3 linked regions of the Lepisosteus oculatus genome follow. The protein of the gene in region 3 interacts with the protein of the main gene of each other region in a pairwise test. Links are inferred from orthologs where the notes say so. Each region holds a gene or a part of one and is shown on either strand. Other genes may lie near its edges.

Region 1 (7,789 bases), on a different chromosome or scaffold from region 3:
AATAATGGAAATAAAATCTCCCCCAGGTCCTGTTTAATTCTAACCTTTTGTCAAGAGAAAATATATAAAACATAACAGCTCCTGGGGGGATTTTATATTCAGTGCAGAACTGTGAAGTTGGGAGTGGAACAAGAGTTAAGGGACTTAAAATCGCCTGAAAAAGAAAAGAAACACGAGAACATGGCTAATATTTTGCAAACTCATACTCAATGGGACGGGGTTCAAGTACAACCTGTAGTATTCATGAAGCAGAGGTAGACTTGCACATTTCAAGTTAGTAAGTCATTTTCTGAAGCGCACCTTTTGCAGGGAAGTTTATGAGCTGCCCCTGTTGGGTCATAGGGTATTTGCAACTATAAACAAAGATGGGAAAATCATGTTATGTTACAGGAAGAAAGAATACTACATACATGCGTGTGTAAGTTGATCGCTTGATGTACTGTGCTACCATAAGTGACTTGCGTTAAACAGAACAGAAAACCCTTCTATACTGCAGACTATTTGTCAGGAAATGGCTCTGTATCTGCAGAAACAATACCAGAAAACCAACGAAAACACAGCACAGCCATTTTGCACTTTCCACTGGTAATCATATCCTTTGACCTGATAAAGCTGCTGTGCTTTCTCTGGTTTTTAAGTTCTCTCAAGTATCATTAAAGATACTATTGCAGGGTGTTCCCCTGTTCTGTACAGTCACAATCCAGAACTGTTATAAGATTATAGGATTTAAAGACTTCCGTTGAGCCAAAGTAAGAGCATATTGCTATGCTACTACATTGTATGGTAAGTATTTGATCTGAAAACAAAGACACGTATTCAAATACTGGAATTACTTGTCCCAGGGATCAAAATCAGGCATTGAAGAGGTAATTGATTAGCTAAGGTTCATTCGTAATTGCGGATGGTATTAGTGCTTTATTTTTCCCCAATTAACAAGCTAGAACAATTGGTCGTTGCCTTATTTAGAGGAGAAATATTCACTCGTTTGTCAAACGAAAATCGCAGAGAGACGATGTCAAACGGGAAACGGAGACCCGTTTTTCTTTTCATGAGAGCCGGGTCAGCTCACAGGACACAAAAACCAAAGGTCTCGGAGCCGAGGAAGGGAGGGGACCGGCGCGCGCTGGGATGCCTACTTCTGAAAGGGCCGTGCACGCGCGGCAGCCTTCAGTCAAGGCTCAGGGTCTCCGTGCCCAGCGGGGCCTGGTTCAGTCGCAGGATCCATCTTTCCAGCCATCTCGCCATCGTTCATCCACCTTCCCACAGTCAAACTCAGGCTTGCCCAAGCGGACGTTGATTTCGTTATGCAGGTGGCACATCCACTGAGACAGGTTGTGCCGGCTGCTCGTGTCCGGCTGATTAGATTTCAGTCTGCAATAGGAGGGAAGAATGACAGAGTAAGAATCGCCCGTGTTTGTCAAAATATAGCCTTGACTTAACAGTGCGAGGTGCTGCACACTTCTTAATCTCCCATCCTTGCTGCGAGTCTGATGAAATGTGTCATTCTTACAGTGCAACAACTTTTAACGTAATACCACTGATCGTTTACATGAAGTAACACAGAGTCGATATTTTAAGTGACAAAAACAATACACGCCATCTTTCAAATCCTCTCTACAAACAGACGGCATCCGTTCCCCCGGATGTCAGCTCTCTGCCAGGCGGAGGAGGCCAATCCCGAACCTGGATCTCAAGTCCTCGGCGCACTCCTCGCAGGGGAAGAACTTGGAGAAGAGATTGACGAACTGCTTCATCTCCTGCTGCTGGCTGCCGCTGGGCGTGTCGGGGTAGTAGGCTGCCATGGTGTGAAGAAAGGACCAGGTGCTCCTGCCCAGCTCCTCCCGATCAAGGGGGCACTCCACGGGACGCTCCCTCTCCTCCTCCCCCCGGCTCTCCTGAAGAAAGACGACCGCGTCATTTACACCCCCTGCCCCATCTCCTCCTCCTCCTCCTCCATTCCCTGGAGGTGTGATCAGTATGGACTTCTTCAGTCTGAGAGTGTCAATATACCCTTCACCCCGCCAAGCCCATTACTGCGGATTCAGTATATGTGATAAACAGGGCGGATTGGTGGCTCTGTGGCTCAGGATCTGCGCCTGTGGCTGGAAGGTTGCCGGTTCGTATCCCGCGGCCAGCAGGGGAATCCTACTCTGATGAGTAACCCTTAACCCCAGCTGCTCCAGGGGTGCTGTATAAATGGCTGACCCTGCGCTCTGACCCCCAGCTTCTCTCCGTGTCTGTGTCTCATGGAGAGCAAGCTGGGGGTATGTGGAAAAACAAATTCCTAATGTGAGAAATTGTATATGGCCAATAAAGTAATCTTATCTTAAACAGTTCTTTTCCACGTTAACATTTTGTCTCCCCATCATACTCTGTACAACAGCTCCACCTAGTGGGTGGGTTCCAACAGCCCCATATATCATCTCAAAACATCCACTTTATCAACACAGGGCCGCAGGGGAGCCAGACCCTATTCTGAGCTGAAGTGGCAGACTCAAAGGTCTGTTCCCATTGTATACCACCTGCTCCTCAGAAGAATCGGCAGAATTTGTGTTAAGAACTGGACTGTGAGGACGAAAAATGCTTAAAATCATCTGGAGCTAGACTATTTTGTACCTTCCACGTGAGCAAGAAAACCCTAAACCTCGGAGTTTCCAACTCTACATGTTGGAGGGAGACAGTGCAATTTAAAGGACAGTTATGTGCTCACGCAGAACACATCTGGTTAGGAGGTAAGGGGCTTTAGTACATCCAGTATTCACTAACCCATTTAGAGACAGCAGATATTCCAGTGTGTAAACTTAATCCTGATGAAATAAAGGTATGTAATAATATTTCAGCGTTTCAGACATAACTGCTTAAGCGTCTTAACCAAAGCTATGCACCTGGGAGAAAGATTCCCTCCTGACGTTCCTGACCTGCAACACGTAAAAACTTCCGAGACCTAGAAGTAAAGGGCAAGCAGACGGCAGAAAAAAAAGAAAGTCGTGAAACTTCAACATTTTCACGCGTCCCTGACAATGGGATTCAGTCTCCGTAGTGTAGAAAAATCTCGGCGACAACTCCATGTCCAAACCTGAAAACTGATCGTGCTATTTTTATCGTAGGAAGTCCGCAATTCTGCAAAGACGCGAGAAAAGAAAATGTATTTTGCACAGAGTAAACTGTAAAGCTGATCAGTTTATCCCACAATGATACTAACACTGCAGTTAAGTAAGCAGATTTAAATAATACGATCCACGTGTAATATTAACTGACTTAAACGTGATCCGAATACATTCTAAATCCAATGTCTTGACTCGGACAAGTGTAGCACTGAATTGAACCTCGTTTGCATCACCTGAAGCGTTGACTGTTTCCTCTGCTCTTTGATCCACGATTTAAAATCCATGCAAGCCCTGCAAGGTTTCTTTTTATGTTCATCCGTCTTTTCCGACGCTTTTTCAGAGGGGACAGCTGGAATCGCGAACGGGAAACCGGCAAGCCCGGCTACTGAAGAAGGGTCAGGCGCTCTCGTACCGCCGGTCGCAGCCATGTTCAAGGCGCAAAGGCTTCTGGGATGCATTCTATATTTGACATATGACAGACATGTCTCTTATATAACGCATTATCTCTGGTCTGTACATATGCATATAAAACAAAGACATTTCAACAAATACATTAATTTTATTTTATTTTAACCCTCCATCTTTTTATGTACATAAAATAGAATGTAACAACGTATAATTATTTGGTCATCTGAGTAAATAAAAAAAATACTAACGCGAGCATGTTCTCTATTATTTCTCCAATATAGCTATATTTTCAAAAGATAATATATTGTGCTTTTAAAGGGGGTTCTATCACACGTTACCTGCCCTGAGCTGAAAGACTTTCAACTCAAAATACTCTGGAACTAAATTCTCTTTCGAGCGGGTTTGGTTGCACTCCGAACTATTTTACGGTGGCTCCCTTTTCCGGAGGGAGTAATTGTCTTGTGCATGCACTTTGTGTAGGGAAGTGTAGAAGTAATATTATTGTCTCCTTATTGACAGTCTTTCATTTATTTTCAAAATATATATTAAAAACCGTGTTTAATTATTCAGGCCGCTTTATGGCTTGCAAAATGTTGCAAATGCTAAACGCTCTTTTGTGAAATTCGAGCCTGGTTTTGCGGACAGGACACGTTGTGCGTGACAGAGCTACATGTCTTTTTAATTTCCAAGTATTCTATAAAAGGACACCTCGGAGTTAAAAATGGGAATCCTCGAGAAAATATCAGACATCGAAAAAGAAATTGCACGGACCCAGAAAAACAAAGGTACGTTCGGTGATTTATGTTAGCCTTTAAGGCAGGGGTAGCCACAAAAACGTGAGAAAAGATACAGACGAATACAGGCTATTCAGCACATCCAGGCCATTTAGTAGTTATTCGTGAATTGTTCCAGTCATTTCTCCCAGCTGTTTCCTGGAAGAATCCAAGTTATCCGTTTCAACAAGATGGCTGGGTAGCTTGTTCCATACTCCCACGACCCTTTGGGTAGATCAGTGCCTTGTGTTCTCAGTTTTAAATGCACATCTACGTAGTGTCCCCTGTTCTGGTAAGAACATAATAATTGTTGTACATTATGATAAGTCTTGCAGGATTGGTCCTTAAAAAAACCAGAGCGCTGAAGAACATTGATAATTAAGGATGATCTACAGCACAGCAAAGACTTGTAATGGGATGGAAGTAACAAGTTAATAACCCCTGCTTTAGTGTTGCTTTTACAGTTTTAATGGGGGGGTTGGGATGACACAGAGAAATCAACCAAAATATTATAGTAGAGAGTAATTGTGCAGCAACATCAAATGAGTTTTCTGCAGCACCAGTTTCAAAACATGTTAGTTACATTTTTTAGGATATAAGGTATAGATTTCCTTGACACTACATTGTTGTTTTTTTGGGTTTGCAGCAACTGAGTACCATCTGGGTTTGCTGAAGGCTAAATTGGCAAAGTACAGAGCCCAGCTGTTAGAACCTTCCAAGTCAGCTGGCGCCAAAGGCGAAGGCTTCGATGTGATGAAATCGGGCGATGCCAGGGTGGCACTGATTGGTTTCCCATCCGTGGGTAAGGTAAGGCACCTACTTTCTGCCAAAGTCCTAGTTTTTACTCTGCCTATGTGAAGGAAAGGTTTATAATGTGTGTCGGAATTGGCGTACAAAGGTATATTACGCCATAGGTTGTTTGAGGAACTTCCTAAACTTCTGATTGAGGCGATGTGATGTTTCTGTTTCGTAGTCCACCTTCCTCAGCCTTATGACATCAACAGCGAGTGAGGCCGCCTCCTATGAGTTCACGACCTTGACCTGTATCCCTGGAGTTATTGAGGTATGGTTGTCTTGCTTTCCTTCTTTGAAAAGGGTGCACATGATTTCACAAAGGAGCCTTAAATTTGTTTGGCATCCAGGTCAATGCAATGGCAATATGAATCCACCAATATTTTTAGAGGTATTCTCTTTGTTTGTTTTTTTAGTTTGTTTTGTAAAAGGAAAAACATCAAAAGGTTTTTTTTTTGCACGACACTGGTTAACAGGTGATGTGGATTTTTTCTTGCAGTATAAAGGTGCCAACATCCAGCTGTTGGATTTACCTGGGATCATTGAAGGGGCAGCACAAGGTAATTTAATTGGAAGTGATAGCTTTGTGATCCCTTACAATTTAGGAAGGTTTTAATTAATAAGACATCTCATTTGCAATGTGATGACCCTGGTGTGTTTTCAGTGCTGGGCTAGCTTCTCAGTGAGCAGCCATTTTGCTGGGCTGTAGGTGTAACTGGTGCTAGCATGGCCTTTATCAGTGTGTGGGTGCTGGTCTTTGCAGGGAAGGGTAGAGGAAGACAAGTTATTGCTGTTGCCCGAACTGCAGATGTTGTCATAATGATGCTGGATGCCACAAAAGGGGATGTTCAGAGGTTAGTGATCTGCTTTTTAAATAAATTAAATTATTTATGCGTCATATGAAAAACCTCCAGTTTAGTTAAAAGCGAGTATGCTGTGTCCCTGAAAAACAGTTTATTTAAAATGTCTTCCTATGTTTAAATGCAGTCCTTGAATGTAATCTTTTATTTATTTTTTTTACAGGGGGCTTCTGGAAAAGGAGTTGGAATCTGTTGGAATTAGGCTCAACATGTCGAAGCCTAATATATATTTCAAGGTATTATCTGGGGTTAACTTATGTACAGATCAGCAATAAAGCAAATGTTAGTGTAAATGAGAAATAGCCACAACATGCTTAAAATGTATAACATGTTTGATTATAAGTTTAAAGTGAAGCCTTATATCTGAATTTTCTTGGAGCGATATTGATTTGTAATATTTTTTTTTCAGCCCAAGAAGGGTGGAGGCATCTCCTACAACTCCACAGTCCCCCTTACCCACTGCTCTGAAAAACTAGTGCAGCTTATTCTTCATGAATACAGTATCCTTTAATGTCAACCTAAAAAATCCGCTTGTTTTCGGGTTGTGATAGCGTGCTTTAATGTGTCTTACCCTAGCGGTGTGCTTTTTGCTCCAGAACAACAGGAACTAAGATACAGGGTGATTTACATGTCTTCTCTTTCAAGAGATTATTTATAGAAACATTACACTGTTCATTAAACCTTTGCTTATCAATTTTTTATTAATGGTGGCTGTTAGTTTATGGTCTCTTTTTAAAAGATGTTTTTTTTATTATAGAACCAGAACAGATACAATAAAACTGTGTAGTCATTTCATACAGGAGCATCAATAAGGTTTAAAATTGTTTTAGTGACATTTCAGAATGAGTATTATGACTTCCCAATGTTTGTGTTGTTTCCTCTCCTTTGGGAAAAAAAACATTTACATTGCTTAAAAGCAATTTAGATGACCTAATATGGTGCAATATGACAAACTGCCGTGTATAACACTGAGAAATAACTTGTGTGTTTCATTGAAATAATCAGAAGATATTAAGACACCAATATACAGATATGAAATATGTTTATGCATGTTATAAACATTTTCTTTAAAAAACATCCTCACAGAAATCTTTAATGCAGAGGTTTTGTTTAGAGAAGACTGTACTTCAGATGAGTTCATCGATGTAATTGTGGGAAACAGAGTATATATGCCATGCTTATACGTAAGTATAAAACGGTGCTGAGTGTTTTTTTTTTTATCTAAAGGGTGCAAACTGACAACAAAAAATAAATTGACTCTCATTTTTGGACTTTAGAGAAATTTCTTGTCAAAAAGTGTAGACCTTTGTTTTTGCAGGTGTACAATAAAATTGACCAAATCTCGATGGAAGAGGTAGACCGTTTGGCCAAACGACCCAATAGCGTGGTCATTAGGTAAATATCCTGTGGCCGTTTTTCTTGTTTCAGAAAAGAACAGTGGCATTGTTGCACTTTTTCATGTTTGCTGATAAGACCATGTTTTTTTTCAGCTGTGGGATGAAGCTTAATCTAGATTACCTTCTTGAGACACTTTGGGAGTACCTGGCCCTCATCTGCATCTACACTAAGAAAAGAGGAGGTATCCTTAGCTCACTAAAACATCTGTTCAGTAGACACAGAAGTTAACAGTGAATGTCCTAACTATTTTGTCCACTGCAATAACTAATTTTGATTCTCTGACTGTGGTGGTTTTAGAAGGCATCAGTGTTTACAGGCAATTATATAGGCTTCCCTTTCTCTACTAAAAATGTACTTTTTATATAATACATTTATTCTGCCATGTTGGAGACTAAGAAGAAGATAAAATAGCCCGTTGCTCGTTTAGATAACGAAACAGCATAGTTTTGTT
Region 2 (8,095 bases), on a different chromosome or scaffold from region 3:
GACAAGAAGCACACACTTACAAAGATAACAGGTATTAACACTGAAAGCAATAACGTGAAACGTGAATCTGTTAACTTCTAGAAAGACACCTCAAGTAGCCCACGTCCCTAGCTTGTCTACAGTTTACTAGTCACATGGATGTGTTGGACTGGAGACCAGATGAAACAGAAATGCGTTAGTACAGTGACCGGATTCGGCTCAGCTGTTCTGAGATCTCTCATCCTGCTTCCTTCTCTCAGTGCCCGATAAGGTGCTTCCTCCTGCAGAAGGATGTCCTTTCCCAGCTGCAACTCCAGGAGTTTAATTTCAGACCACTCCAGCGCAGTCTGCAACACTTGGAACGTTTCATGCAATCTGATCATCGCAATACGCAACCCTGTTGTGAAAGGCGCTATATAAAAAGAAATTGAATAAGTACAACTTTCCGAAATTGAACTGACGGTAGTTGGTGAAGCAGCAGCTGAAACCCCACTGATATCGTCATCTTACGGCAAAGATGAGCCACGCCCTCCCTCGACACGGAAATAACCTGCTACCCTTACGTTCACAGCTCACAACAGGATTGATTTCTAACGAACTCACTCAGAGAGAGCCACTGGAGGGCTCCGCCCCACTGGGACTCACCTTGCGGGCCATGACCAGCCCCGAGGGCCGGTGGCACACCTTGTTGACCACGCCGCCGTTGCCGGCGCCCAGCTCGCAGATGCGGTGGAAGTCGTCGTCCTTCAGCTCGCCCACCTTGGCCTTCTGCGTGAGGAAGGCCTCCAGCCTCTTCCTCTGCTGCTCATCCAGGTCCAGCTCCTCCAGCTTCTTCTGCAGGGCCTCCAGGTTTGCCCTGGGGGGGGACATCACGACAGTGTTCAGTGCACAGTTTGGGAAGTCAGCTAACACCACAGGTTTCCCTTCACTGCCAGCAGTGTCTGAACGTCGTCTGGGCTCCTGGTCGCTCCCACCTTCCATACGGACACTGCTGCTGCTCCGGGGTAACGGTGATTCCTTAACGTCTTTGTACAGGAGCGCTCGTGACAAACTGAACACTGAACACACTGCTGCCCAGCACTCTCACGCTGAGCTACTGAACACACTGCAGCCCTGCACTCTCACACTGAGCTACTGAACACACTGCAGCCCTGCACTCTCACGCTCAGCTACTGAACACACTGCTGCCCTGCATTCTCATGCTGAGCTACTGAACACACTGCTGCCCTGCATTCTCACACTGAGCTGCTGAACACACTGCTGCCCTGCACTCTCTTATGCTGAGCTACTGAACACACTGCAGCCCAGCACTCTCATGCTGAGCTACTGAACACACTGCAGCCCAGCACTCTCATGCTGAGCTACTGAACACACTGCTGCCCTGCACTCTCTTACGCTGAGCTACTGAACACACTGCAGCCCAGCACTGTAACACTGAGCTACTGAACAAACTGCAGCCCAGCACTATAACACTGAGCTACTGAACACACTGCTGCCCTGCACTCTCTTACGTTGAGCTACTGAACACACTGCTGCCCAGCACTCACACTGAGCTACTGAACAGACTGCTGCCCTGCATTCTCACCCTGAGCTACTGAACACACTGCAGCCCTGCATTCTCACCCTGAGCTACTGAACACACTGCAGCCCTGCATTCTCACCCTGAGCTACTGAACACACTGCTGCCCTGCATTCTCACCCTGAGCTACTGAACACACTGCTGCCCTGCACTCTTTTACGCTGAGCTACTCATTTATTAACTTATTGTTGTTGCTGCTGCTCAGTGTTGGTGTTTTGGGCGATTCCTTTAATGTCTTTGTATGGGAGCGCTCATGACAAACTGGTCTGAACAGGTGAAACTCGACAGGTTACTGATCTTTCCCCGATGCCCTTTGATACAAAGCGACTCCCATGTGCGCCCTCTCCTACAGCGGGGTCTTTCCCTGCGGCTCTCTGGGTGCAGCATCCGGCTCAGGGGGGGGACCCCCAACCTTCCAGTCCAGACCCCGCTGTCGCACCCTTCCTGCTGATGTGTCCGTCAGCAAGCGGGTCTCAAACCCCCGACACACCCTACACACGCCCGGTATCAGCTCAGCCCTGCTCCGCGGCTACGTTTTCACTCCAGGCCACTGATGCACTAACCTTTCGGGCAAGAAGACTTTTTAAACACATTAACACCCCCCCCCCCCCAGCAGCTGACCCGCTCCCCCCGGAAGGTACTCACTCGGACGCGGCGTCCACGGCGTTGGGACCGGGCTGGCCCTCCCCGCCCGTGGGGGTGATGTTCAGCGGCATCGGCCTCTTCTTCGGAGCCATCTCGCTCGGGCCTCAGGCGCGACCCAGCCCGCACAGCTCGCACTGGACCGGGAAAACCGACTCGGCGCTGGTTCGCTGAATCAGAAGCTCCAGTCGGGAGCCCAGATTAAAACATAGAGAGAGATTTCGGCGGCCCCGTCTCGACTGCAGCCCCCACCCGCCTCTACAGGCCGGCTTGGGAAAGGTTTTCTTTTGGACAATTAAAGCTGAAATGCACGAGTGCCCCGATAGTGGGTGTTTTTTGACAGCTGAGATGCTGTTCTTCACAGCGACATCCCCTTCTCAAGAGCTGCGGGCGGGCGGTCCGGTCCGGTCGGGAAGGTGGGTCGCTAATGGCCACCGGTCTGCCGGCGGGGCTGGGACACGGGCAGCAGCAGCGCGACTACCGCACACGGATCGACGTCTGCATCCGACAGGATGAATATCGCGGCCCCGGCACCTCTGCCCGTCCCGAAGCGCGGAGGTTAGAATCGGGTTTTGCAGCTTTTGAAACGTTGAAAACACCCGAGTCTCCTCTTCAAGGTGCGAGTCCCCCGGGTACCTTCAGACACGTACGGAAAAGTGATCACTTGAAGGAAGACGCCAGGAAAAAATAAATAAACAGCATATCACCGCGTTTGTCTCTTTTCCTTTCCTTCAGAGTCTTCAGCTGTTGTTTAGAGAGAAAGACCGTCTCTGGTGTTGTCCTGGGGCGCACCGCGGCCGCGGCCTGTCTCCGGCTCTGCGGACGCGGAAAAGGGAGGCAGGGTCCCCCGGTGGCAGCGAACACTAGAGCCCGAGGCTGCGCGGCCCTTGCGGCGGGGAGAGGGCGTGAGCGGGGTGTCTGCGGCGAATGTCCACTGGATGGGCCGGGGGACGCCGGCTCGGTTAGGCTCTCAGCTGGGCGGCGGGGACTCAGTTCGGGTCCCGGTTCAGGAAGCAGTAGCAGTAGCAGCAGACGCGGCCAGGAGGGGTCCCACGGAATCTCGCGAGATCTGTCACCCACACATCCTTCACGATCAGCGGAATCCGGTCCAGGGTTGCAACATAAATCTCGCGAGATTAGAGGTCGCGCCTGGAGCTGCACGCAGCGACCTCTGGCGGCGGGATGGAGTAACTCCAGAAACAGAGTGGCTTCGACCGCGAGTGTTCCTGCCTGTCACAACGCGCAATGCTGTCTGTCCTTATAATGCTCCAGGAGCAGACTTAGACACGCACACACAAAAATATATATAGGAATACATATATAATTCATATATATATATATCGATAGGAACGCAACACTTCTAGATTCCCAGGTGGATTTGAAATAAAATGTTTGCATAAGAACGGTAGTAGTGCTCTTGCACTTGCACATCCTGCTCTGTCCAGTCTTGGACCTCCTGGGGGGAGTCCTGCAATTGAGAGGCAGGATCACAGCTGGTCAGCTCCGTTTCTGTGGCGAGCTGCTCACAGTGTCTGCCCAGTGTCTGCGCTGTCTTGCTCCACGAGACCCACTGCGGGCCAGTGTCCTGACCGGCATGAAACACTCCTCAGAACAGCTGTTGGGGCTCCTGGAGGCCGGAGGGGAGGAAGGAATGAGGTAGACTCACTGCAGGTGACAGGGTCTGTCCCCCGACGATCTGCAGTCTAATCCCAGCAGAGTGAGACATGGCCACCCGACGACTGCTCCTGAGCCTGACAGCCGGTCTCCCTGCCTGCGCTCCCAGAGCAACATCCCATCATCCCCCGCTGACAAACACTGACTCTCCCTCTCGCCAGGGCCGGACTGTGGTGCTCGTCGGCCCTCGGCACTTTCACTCCGAAATGTGCCAGGAGAGGGGTCAACGCCAGTTGAATGACGTCGATTGACATGATGCACTTTAAACTATTGTGAGGACCGGGGGATTCGCACAGAATGGAGCTCACACACCCCTGATGTGCCAACAACAACTCGTTTATTTACCTCCGCCTGTTGGACTTGATAGACAGAGATTAAAACTCCTTGAAGGGGTTACACACACACGCACACTCACTCACTGACACACACACTGACACACACACACACGCGGTAAGAATTAAGGAGGGGTACTTCAGTTTTCAGTGGGTTACAAGGACAAACAGCAAACACTGACAGCTATTTACGATGGCTCCTCATAACCTCTCTACGCTCTTCTCATGCTAAACCAGGCGATTGATGGGGCGAGTCGAGAGACCATCACTTCCACACTTCTAGTTTCTAGAACAGCTGCTAGAGAGCGTGGGATTGTTGATGTGGAGCAAGCATGTTGTTTCAGCTCGTCAGTCAGGAGTGTTTCCCTCCTTCGTAGGCCCTAAAAATGTCCTAGGCCCTAGCAGCTGTGCCAGCACGGCCCCATGGGAGATCCGGCACAGCCATTCACCATCTTCATCTTTCCTCCACCCTCCTCCTGCTGGTGGGGTTGCTCACTGGCCAGACATGTTCACACTGTGTGTTACTGTGTGTTAGTGTGTGTTACTGCGAAAGTCTGTGTGTCTTCGTGAAATTGGTGTGTTAACATGGAAATGGGGGAAAAAAAGTAAGGTTTCATGAACGGTGGGGCGACTGTGTATTATCCACAGCCTAGAGCTGGAGATGTCATGCCTGGCACATCATTCCGAATGAACAGTCTGTGGAAGGACTTGGGGTTACAGGGTGTGCGTATCTTTGTGTCCTTCCTAACTAATTCAGTTTTACAAGAGCTGTTCAGCTTCAAAGACATGGAAATGGATTCCTGGATCCAGCTCCTAGAATGCACAATTCTGACACTCATTTCCATCTTTTTAACAAAGTGCAAAATATCAGACACTGGTTTCTACAAACCTTCCAGACAAAAACATTTCCATAAGCCTTTCTGTCGATAAGAAAAAAAGATATGATCTAATTAAGATGTTGGACCTGTTTAAAAACGCACATTGCATTCCTTCTCCTAAAGCCGTTTGGTTGGACGCGAGGTGTGAAGTAGAATTCTGGATACGGACTGGAGTCTCCCAGACTCATGCTGTCTTCCGACTGACACCGCTAAAGAAACGCGATTAATGTAAGAAGACCCTGGCGCTGCCTCGGAGCGCACGTTCATTCCGGGGTTATCAAGCTCTAAAAGGTGGCACCCCGTGATATCAGGCAGCCCATGCGCCTTTTTAGGGTGCCGAGGCCTAGCGCGCCACTGGCAGCCTATGTGGAAGTGTGACCCGACTTTTTGCTAACACTGTCGCTTTAAGAGCCAGCGGCCACGCCCCTTTCTTGCGCAGTCCCCCGCACCACGTGACCGGGCCGTGCGCCGATTGGTGGGCCCGGCTCCCCCGCACGTGACCCCGCGGCCTCTCATTGGCGGCCAGCTCGCTTTCTTAGTTTTGGCTCTCGCGGGGCTGCTGGAGGAAGATGGCGGCCGAGCTAGTGGAAGCGATGGCAAGTCGAGAGCTGCTTTCTCCCGGGCGGCTGGGCAAGGGGCCGGGGGGCGGCCGGGGCAGCCGAGCGGGGGCTTCGGGCGAGGCTGGGGAGGGCGGGAGCCCAGCGCGGCGAGGCTGGGGGTGGCAGGGAGATTCACGCCAGGGGGCAGAGCCGTTGTGAAGAGGGGTCGCTGGCATATGGGATAATGAATGATAGATCCATAAATAAAAACATCCGCCAGCGGGGAGTCGGAGCGGCTCGGGTTTAATCATTCACTCCCCTCCTGCAAGCTCGGCACCTCGCACCCGGCGTGTGCCTGCAGCTGAAGGGACCCTGCGCGGCGTGAGAGGGGCTTCCGTCTTCACGGGTTGACAGCGACGAGGTGTGTTTTTCCCGGCGAGAGAGAGGCGGACCTGTCCGCTGCCCCCAGGGGGAAGGGAGCTGCAGGGCCGGTGTCCGGGCTCGGCACCTGGCCGGCGCCAGCGTGAGGCCGGGGCGCCGCGGTGACCCCGATGAGCGCACCCTTGTCGGCGTCTGTGGCTGGAGACGCCGAGCAGCGCAGGAGTCCCGACCCGTCGTTGCCGTCACCCGTGCCTGGTCCCCAGCCGGCGGAGATGCAAAGCAGCCCCCCTGCGCTGGTGCTCCCCGGCTGAGCAGAGCCAGCAGCGCCCCGGTGTGCAGACGGGCAACAGCCGACGCAGACGGAAGCCCCGCTTCAAAGCTGATCATAACTGTTGTTGCAGTCTGATTTTCGCCGGATGGATTTAGAGAGAACTCCGTGCTGTTTGATTGAGAGAAGTCGTCAGCCCTGTTCGCCTTTAGTCCTCTCGGGCTCCGCTGGCGTGACGTCTTGTGCCCGTGGGTTTCTGTCCGAGCCCCCGGCGGGTGTGTCGGCTGCTCTGTAAGGGTCCGGCCGCGTCTGCGGGCTGCACGCAGGCGGAGCAAAGACGAGTCCGGCTGGCTCGTCCTGGGGTGAAGGGCTTGTGTTGAGAGGCAGCCGGGCGCTGGGAGGGCTTGCCCGGTGTCGCCAGTTTCCACAGCGGTGCCTCTGGTCTCCTGCTTGGGGAGAGGAGTCGATGCTGCGTGCGGATCTTTTGTTTTATATAGCGCCTTTCAAAGCTGCTTTTTAAAGTGCTTTCCAGTAAAGAACAAGGGTTCTGAGTGCGGCCCGCGGTGCAAAGGGCAGGCAGATCCAGTTCGGGCAAAGCGCTTCTGAAGAGGAAGGGGTGGAGTCCGGATCGGTCCCCTCTCGGGGAGAGGGGAGAGGGGACCCCAATTGCCTTGGAGACAGCCCTCTGGGGCTCTGGGGTGCAGCAGGAGGAGGTCGCCCAGCGCATGTCGACGAGTCTGGGGGGACGGGGAGGGGGTCCAGGGTCCGGAGAGGAGGTGCTCAGCGTCTCTTGTCTTCCTCTCCGCCCCGCAGAACATGGTGAAGAGTTTCCGGGTGTCGGACCTGCAGACGCTGCTGTCCTCCATGGGCCGCAGCAAGAGCGGGCTGAAGCAGGACCTGGTGGGCCGGGCCCTGCGGCTGGTGCAGAGCGAGTGCAGCCCGGAGCTGCTCAAGACCATCCGCCAGCTGTACGAGTCGCGCTTCCCCAAGGCGCCCGGCTGGCTGGCGCAGCGGCCTCGGCCCCCCGAGCTGCTGCAGGCGCCCTACCCGGCCCGCAGCCCCCCGCACCCGGCCCCGGCCCCCCCGCAGGGCGCGGACTACCTCAACGGCCTCGCCGCCACCGCCACCGCCGCCACACCCCCCACCGACGTCAAGCTGGTGCCCCTGCCCTTCTACAAGACTGTGGACGTGCTGCTGCACCCCACCGAGCTCGGTGAGTCCCCCCCGACCCGTCCGGGAGAGCTGCTGGCCGTGCCCTTTCTCCTGTGTGGTCTCCCCTCTCCCTCCTCTGTTTCCTGCTGTTTGCTTTGTAGTTCGGTTTCTCTTATTCTGCGATTTCCGACCTTCAGTGACCCCTGTGAACAGAAGTTCACTGGAGACAAGATTCTCGGTCTTTTCAGCAGCACCTGGGCTGGAGCAGGACTGTCCAACAGGTCCCGGGTTCCGGCTTCCCTGCAAACTGCAGGTTTTTATTGGAGCCAAGGTCTTGATGGCTGAAGATGCTCGTTAGTGGCTTAATTGGACCAATTGAACAGCTTCAACCTGCAGGTGCTGCTGCTTTAAAGAGACCTGGAAAACCTACAGACACTGCCCAGGTCCAGGGGGAGGCCGCTGGGATACAGTCTTTTTTGGCAGAGCTTTCCCGAGTCTGGTCTGTAACTGTCTCTCTGTCTCCCTAGTGCCCCAGAACAGCGAGAAACTCCAGGACAGCCCGTGCACCTTTGAGCTGTCCCAGAGCCAGGTGGAGCAGATCAGGAATTCTCGGTGAGCTCTCTCTCTCTCTCTCTCTCTCTCTCTGCTCCCAAACCTGCAGGAGCTCAATA
Region 3 (7,724 bases):
AGCCGTCATCACAGAGCTCTCCGTCTGGGCAAACATCTTTTCCAGCCGAGCCTCTCAGGAGGCTCATGCAATGGATATTTTTAACAAAAACTTCTTAGATGACCTACAAGCTGCAGTTATACACTGGTCTGGATCACATTTTAGCTCTACTTACTACGACAGCGACAAAAGGCTCCTGAAACTGCTGGTTAAGCATCTGAGTGCTGACATCGATCCCTGACAGCCAACAGCCATAGCCAGGGTGGCTGTGGTACCAGCCAATGGCATTTTCAAGGCGCCCAACCTGGAGAACAAAAAAGAGATGAATGGAAAAAAAAAGGTTGTAGATAAGATCTTTCTTCTGTAAGGACTGGACATTCCAGAAGCCTTGATGTTTTACACCAAGTTTCATCTTAACTTTAACTGAGCTGAAGTTACGTTTCAGTTGTCATGGAGTAAAATAAGCAAAGACATTTCCTACAAAAGGTAGGATCTATTGCTTAAGACAAACCCCCCCAAAAATGTCATACTTCAGAAAGTATGCGCTTTTTTCATAGATGAGTATGTCGACGAAATCTTGTATCTCTAGTGCATGCTTAGATAAGATTGCACAATTATCTGTTAAAGGCCTTAAAAGAAACACCTTAAAAATATTAAAAGGTGTTGATGTTTTACATGTCATTGTGAATGACTGTAGTTTCCCTTGGACTCATAAAGGTCAGCTGTCCACGACAACAACAACAAAAAAAAAAACAAATCAAAGTGTTCCCCCACCTGGACACACTGTCCATTGCATTTTTATGTCTTTTTAGTCCGCATCAACGAAAAAAAAACCCTGAAACTTATATTCTGAAAGAAGGCACAAACCACAATTATTGTACAAGACTGGATCACAATACACATAAGAGCTAAAATAAAGGAAACACCTATATAAACTGTCTTCACAGTGTGTTGGGCCTCGTGGGCTGCCAGAACAGCTTCAATTAATTCAATACGCTTTGCTTTGAAGTGTCAAGTTTTATCTGAACATAAGAAACGTCTCAAATGAGATGAGCGTGTTCCATAGTACTGCAACCCTCCTGAACCTTACTATTCTTGGACAGTGAGACACGAACCAGAGGACGAGGGCGGAAATTAAATCGATGTAAAGTTGAAAACAAAAACAGGAGGCACCTCCGTGTGCAGGGGGTTGTGGGAATATGGAACAGCTAAACCCTCAAATCAAAATCCAATCAAAGTTTATTTATCAAATGCACAACAACACAGCGTGCAGCAGTAGTTGCTGGCAATGAAATGTCTTTTCTACGAGCTCACAATAGAAATTGAATAAAATAAACTCAGAGAAAACTCAATATGAATAGAGCTGCTATGTGTCCATGGTGTATGCAATGTATTATGTCCAAGTAGTGCAGTATGATGAATACAATGAGAACTGTATGTCCATGTAGCCATTACGGGTGATATGCTAAAGGAGCTGCAGGTTGGCTATTTAGCAGTCTTATTGCCTGGAGGTAGAAGCTGTTCCATAGTCTGTTGAATCCTGCATGTTATTGAAGCGTCTTTCATCAAACGATGAGATCCGTGGATCAATGAACTACCAAACCAGGCTGGATGGGCAGAACGGCCTCCTCTCTCAGGCGGGGAGGACCCTGGCGTGGAATGCCGGAGCACGGACCACCGCAGGACCTCGGCAAGCCGAGAGGGAGACTGAGGTGCGAGATTTTCTTAAACCACGCCACCGGAAAAAAAAACAAGCCAGAAACGCGGCCGAGCGCCCGTGTCTCCGACGTCGGAGAAGGCCGGAGCGCCCCGCTGACCTGCTTGGCGTTCTCGATGTACGCCGCCATGTACTCGTAGGCGGCAGCCTGGGCGTTCACCCGGGTCTCCGTGCCCTCCACAGGCAGGGCGAAGCTGTCCATGATCATCATGGTCTCCCCGTCCACCTTGCCCAGCATCAGGCCCATCACCTCCAGGTTGCCGCCGGACCTGGCGTGCATGACCATCTTCAGCAGGGCCAGGGCCGAGATCTTGCAGTACTTGAAGTAGTGGTGGCTGCAAAACACGCACGGCCAAACGGAGAGAACTGCGGTGAGCCACCTGTCCCCCCCGTCGGATTATTTCAGTGCTAATAATCAGACACTGCCCCTGGTCTCTGAGGCATCAATCTCTAGAAGTCAACACCAGATGAGGTGCTGCTTTTAGGCTGGGAGGGACAAAGACAATAATAATAATTTCTTACACTTATATAGTGCTTTTCTGGACACTCCACTCAAAGCGCTTTACAGTAATGGGGACTCCCCTCCACCACCACCAGTGTGCAGCCCCACCTGGATGATGCGACGGCAGCCATAGTGCACCAGTACTCTCCCCACACACCAGCTCTCAGTGGGGAGGAGAACAGAGAGATGAAGCCAATTCATAGATTATTCTTAGGTCATGATTGGTAAAGGCCAATGGGAAATTTGACCAGGACACCTACTCTTTTTGAGAAACGCCCTGGGATTTTTAATGACCACTGAGAGTCAAGACCTCGGTTTAACGTCACATCCGAAAGATGGCGCCCACTACAGTATAGTGTTTCTCCAGTATACCGTGGCATCAGGACCCCACACAGATCGCTGGTCCCACTAACACCACTTCCAGCAGCAACCATAACTTCCCAGGTCGTCTCCTATCCAGGTACTGACCAAACTCAACCCTGCTGAGCTTTACTGGGTAGCCAGCTGCAGGGTGATATGGCTGCCGAGCCAGTTCAATTCATTCAGCTCAATACGTATCACTGGGCACTGCCGGCAGTGCTCTGGTACTCGGCACTGGAGAAGCCCGACCTCTCTCTACAAAATCGATTGTGAGGATAATCAGAGCCTAACGAATGCAACCCATCGTATTATGTTCCAGGGAAATTGAAAAGGAAACATTATGAAACTTTTCTTTTTATTTTAAACTGTCAGCTTTTTTAAAAGCACGATCAAGAAATAATCAAGAGATCCTCATCCAGAAAACCGCAAGCGGAGAGACCTTTGACCAAACCATACTGCGTTATGAAATTTGCGAATTTCTGCAAGTGTACGAGTTTTGGCTAGCAAATCATTTAATAAACACGCATTAAATAATCTTTTGTCTCCTTTTTTTTTTTACTAAGAAAAAGCGGTAAGAAAATGAATCAAAAGAAAACAACAGTGAAAGCACTGAAACGGGCCACCTAACAGTTACGTTACAAAACGCATCGCGAACAGAGGTTTGTATGCATTTTTTAAAAAGAAACTCACTCTTTTGTCCACGGTTTCGCAGCTAGGATCTCTTGCTGTTGTTTCTTGTCGTATTTATAAATTTCATCAATGCTCTGAACTTCCTGCATACTGTTGGAGAGCTCCCATGTCTTCTGCGCCATACCGCCCCCGGCCATCTTCCCAGCTGAAACGCTCTCTATCTCTGTGCGTTAGATCAATTAAACCTGCCTCGCCCTTCGGAAGAAGATAACCCCCCTACAAAACACCCTTGAGAACAACGGAAATGTAATTTTTCTTGCGATGTTGTAGCTAAACTTCGCTAACGATCGCCGGCGCTACCTAACAACACAGCCATGACACGGACAACTACCACCGAGCCCACCCTGGGGTGGTCTGAAAATGACAAGAACCCGAAAATGGATGCCGACAACCACAATCACTATGTGTAAAAAATACAAATACAAAACTAAGAATTTTCTCAGTCTTTAAGTTATCGAAAAATCTCTATGTGCAACGCATTCTAAAGAATATTACAACAACAAAAAAAGAAACCCGTGACTTCAATGGTTCGGTCCAGACGGCTTCGGTGGGACGCGAGCGAGCCCTTGAGGTGATAGAGCCCCCTGCTGGCGGCTGTCTGCAGCTGCACATTTAGTTTCCAGAAAAGGAATAAATAAGGATTTCCTCCCAGTCCAGAAACATGCTGTCAGGCCAACTGATGGGGTGTTTCTGTCTGTGTCTTCCCTGTGATGGACTGGCCCGAGGTATACTCTGTCTTGTCCCTGTAGCTTGCTGACACAGGATCTGGATCATCTGCGATCCTGAATTGGAAGAAGCAGTTAGCAAGTGGATGGAGGGATGTAATACATGAATATATTTTAAATTCATATTAGTTTCGTTCATTACTCCCTGGTGGCAGAGTCTAACATAACAATCCAACAAAAACGAACATCATCAACAAAGAAGACGGTACAACTGTGTTTCAGGAGATGAGTTTTTTTTTTACATTGCTTGAGAGTGAGATTGCAAAGATGATAAGATAAAACAGACAAACTGGGCTAACGTTTCCAATACAATAATGTGTGTTAAAACAAGCCTGGTCAGTACCTGGATGGGAGACTCCTGGGAAAAACTAAGGTTGCTTCTGGAAGAGGTAATAATAATAATTATAATTAATAATTGCTTACACTTATATAGCGTTTTTTGGATACTCCACTCAAAGCGCTTTACAGGTAATGGGGACTCCCCTCCACCACCACGCTCACCACACACAAGCTCTCAGTGGGGAGGAGAACAGAGTGATGAAGCCAATTCATATTTGGGGATTATTAGGAGGCCATGATTGATAAGAGCCAATGGGAAATTTTGGCCAGGGCGCCAAAGAGGTGTTAGTGGGGCCAGCAGGGGTCGCTCACCCTGCAGTCTATGTGGGTCCTAAAGCCCCAGTATAGTGACGGGGACACTATACTGTAAAAAAGGCGCTGTCCTTCGGATGAGATGTAAACAGAGGTCCTGATTCTTTGTGTTCATTCAAAATCCCAGCGTTTTTCACGAAAAGAGCAGGGGTGTTTCCCCAGTGTCCTGGCCAAATTTCCCATTGGCCTTTATCAATCATGGCCTCCTAACGATCCCCGCCTCTAAACTGGCTTCATTACTCTGCTCTCCTCCCCACTGAGAGCTGGTGTCTGGGGAGTGTACCGGTGCACTGTGGCTGCCATCCCATCATCCAGGTGGGGCTGCACACTGGTGGTGGTGGAGGGGAGTCCCCATTACCTGTAAAGTGCTTTGAGTGGAGTGTGCAGAAACGTGCTACAGAAGTGCAAGCAATTATTATTAATTCTATCCCAGAGGATTGAGAGGATCCACGTCATCCACAGCAAGCAAGCTAGAATGGACCAACGGCCTCCTCTCGGAGAGCAGAGTGAAATTTAAATGGTATGAGCCCCCGCTCTTTGGAACAGTTCAGTTCAGTTTATTTGTCAGTTTATTTGTCATATCCACAAGTGCAATGAAATGCTTATTTGCACGTCTGCTCCGATACCAGGACATTAAGGAAACACCAACACAGAACAGCAGCAGCAGCGACAACAACATACAGTACAACTGACATACCGACGTACCCACGTAAATAACATACAACGTAAATAGAAGTCAGTGGCTCTGGACCTGCTTTAAACATACAGTGACGGAGAATTGCTTTAATAAAGCAGATGTCATTTTTTATTGATAAAGGCTGGAAGAATCCGTTTGAAAAACAAAAAAGAGATCTAGACTTGAAAGAAATCAGACGTGAATTTGATCCACAAATAACCCCAAACACAGGGGATCAAAGATCACCAGGATCAAAGAACAGGGTCACCAGGATCCCTTATGGGACAGCAGTGTATAAGTGTCCCTCCAGTCCACTAGGGGGTGCTGTGTAATTCCCTGTGCTCTGGTGTTTGAGGTTCTCCCGCCCCTCGCTCTTCTTCCCTGCAGCACCGGGCGGCAGTTCCCTGCTGCTGCTGCTGACAAGTTGCCCTGCGGGCTTGTTGCTGCTGGGCGGCGGATCCGCTGTGTTATTCGTTGAAACCCGGCGGCCGTAAAACCACTCAGGACGTGGACACCTTCGTGTGTTGTGTTTTTTTTCTCCCAGGGGAGGATGCGCGCTGTTCCGCTGAGGATACGTTGAACTTGTCGTACGGTACGGGACCTTTTCAAAAACATGCAGTTTGTGTTCGAGTCAGTAACGTTGAACTGTCGTGTTTAATACTTTGCTGAAGGGGGTTGTTGTGTCTGGAGCGCCCTACTTATCTCGAATGATCCTCCCCGGAACCGCATATATTTATTGCTAAAGTGAGAAGTCTACGTTTTAAATGATAAGTTTCCTGACGGGGATGTTTGTCAACTATTTGTCGATAAGCTGCAGTTAATATTAGCGGTTGTGCTCGGCGCCGCGAAGTGGCCTAAGACGTTGTGTACAGTGGTTGCCTAACAACGGGTATTAAAGAGGCAGTGGCACTGATTTCTACGTTATTTTTTAAATTTTATTTCATTGGAAATAATCTGAAGACAGTGATGCCCCTGCTTTTTTAAGCTTTTTTTTCTGAAGACTTAATTTACGTTAGTATTAAAACAAATTGAGCGACTTAAAATTTAAATATTTACGCCGTTTCACAAAATAGTACGGCAAGTATTCAGGCCAATTTCACACAAACTTAGAAACCGACAGGGGTGTCCCGGTATATCCACATCTGTTCACGCTTGTTAGCAGAGCTGCATGATTTGTGTTTTTGTTCTACAGGAGCTGTGCTGGGTCTTACTGCTTTGCTATGTGGTCTGTTGGAAGGAATGGTTTTATAAAGGTGACTTTGAGATTCCCAGTGTCGCATTTAAGGTTTACGTGTTGTGCGTAATGGTGAAGGTGGGCTGTTTTCATTCCAAAAAAGTGTTAAGTAACTGATGTCCCAAATGTATTAAGGCAGGTCAAGCATTCTTATCAGAAGGGGCAGTTAATGTAACTGGCACTTCTACTACCTAGAAAAACAGCCAGTTACGTTTTTTATTGCTTTCTTTGGAGGTTGTTTTCCCAAAAGTCGATTACATCTTGAAACAACAGGTTCTACCCCCAGCTGTCTGTACCGTATGTATAATGACCTTTATGTTCTGTATTTTGGGGAAGGGTTCATTTAGCCAAAACGTCTTCCGAGTTCAGGTCTTTTAACCTTGAGAGTAAAGACTGCTGAGCGCTTTGACAGTAAGTGTGAGTAGTGCTCTTCAGTGATTTCTTTCCCCCTCCATTTGTGTTTTTGACATTGCACATGATTCCTTATAGATACCTTCACAGATATCAGGAGGAGCAGGAGTACTTTTGGAAGGGGGGAATTATGTGAGGAAGTGCAAAAGGAATAAAGAACTAACCTGTGAACTTAACGATCCAGGCTGATTAAATTGGCTTCTGGCATTTTGACTTTGCTGGTAAAGCAGTTTTGAATGCCTTTGAAGAAGACGCTTATCTGGGTTATAACTCTCCCAGTGTTCAGCTTACTTGGAAGTGAATACGTGGAAAAGCAGTACTTTTTTCTTTAAAAAAAAGGTAACTTAATAGAAATGTTCTTACAATACTGTGTTTTCTCCCATGTCTTTAAAAAGCCTGATTTCTAGATACATCTACATTGCATATTGAGTGACTCATCTGTTTTCTTTAATTAGATTAATACTTATAGTAGTCATAGAGCCAAAGTGTAATCAGAGAAAAGTGCTTTGTTCTGCAGTAAGTCCCATCTTCCAGAAGCAGAAGCTGAGAATCTTAGTAGTGTCTAAGATAATTTTGTCCAGTGCTGCTTTAACAAAGTGCATGTGTCTGTGTTGCTGCATGTTAAAATATGTAACAGTGCATTGTACGCATGAACACGAATGAGTGCCAAGCCCAGTACAGTGCAGTATACAGTACATCTAAAGGCCACGCTGGCATTTCATTGTTTACTTTGGTGGTCATGGTGAGCAGGTTAGTCATCAATTCGAATTCTAGGGTTG

What was found.
Region 1: the proteins of cops5 (region 3) and gfer interact in a two-hybrid assay, tested with the Homo sapiens proteins (2 studies listed by BioGRID). The link is inferred for Lepisosteus oculatus from reciprocal best matches to the Homo sapiens genes COPS5 and GFER.
Region 2: the proteins of cops5 (region 3) and map2k2a interact in a two-hybrid assay, tested with the Homo sapiens proteins (2 studies listed by BioGRID and IntAct). The link is inferred for Lepisosteus oculatus from reciprocal best matches to the Homo sapiens genes COPS5 and MAP2K2.

Annotation. Positions count from the first base shown.
Region 1 is NC_090714.1:12,803,636-12,811,424, forward strand, and holds gfer (FAD-linked sulfhydryl oxidase ALR), read right to left. Parts: upstream 3,567-7,789; 5' UTR 3,566-3,566; coding exon 3,341-3,565; intron 2,332-3,340; exon of another isoform or gene 1,896-2,331; coding exon 1,684-1,895; exon of another isoform or gene 1,625-1,683; intron 1,372-1,624; coding exon 1,209-1,371; 3' UTR 893-1,208; downstream 1-892. Other genes in the region: drg2 (developmentally-regulated GTP-binding protein 2), read left to right, coding at 4,237-4,300, 4,935-5,095, 5,262-5,351, 5,580-5,640, 5,844-5,934, 6,104-6,176, 6,350-6,440, 7,027-7,124 and 2 more.
Region 2 is NC_090724.1:8,883,103-8,891,197, reverse strand, and holds the start of map2k2a (dual specificity mitogen-activated protein kinase kinase 2), read right to left. Parts: upstream 3,297-8,095; 5' UTR 2,296-3,296; coding exon 2,204-2,295; intron 836-2,203; coding exon 625-835; intron 1-624. Other genes in the region: pias4a (E3 SUMO-protein ligase PIAS4-A), read left to right, coding at 5,654-5,680, 7,086-7,485, 7,952-8,036. UniProt on the Homo sapiens protein: Catalyzes the concomitant phosphorylation of a threonine and a tyrosine residue in a Thr-Glu-Tyr sequence located in MAP kinases. Activates the ERK1 and ERK2 MAP kinases.
Region 3 is NC_090701.1:51,533,868-51,541,591, forward strand, and holds the start of cops5 (COP9 signalosome complex subunit 5), read right to left. Parts: upstream 3,617-7,724; 5' UTR 3,386-3,616; coding exon 3,249-3,385; intron 2,032-3,248; coding exon 1,797-2,031; intron 284-1,796; coding exon 155-283; intron 1-154. UniProt on the Homo sapiens protein: Probable protease subunit of the COP9 signalosome complex (CSN), a complex involved in various cellular and developmental processes.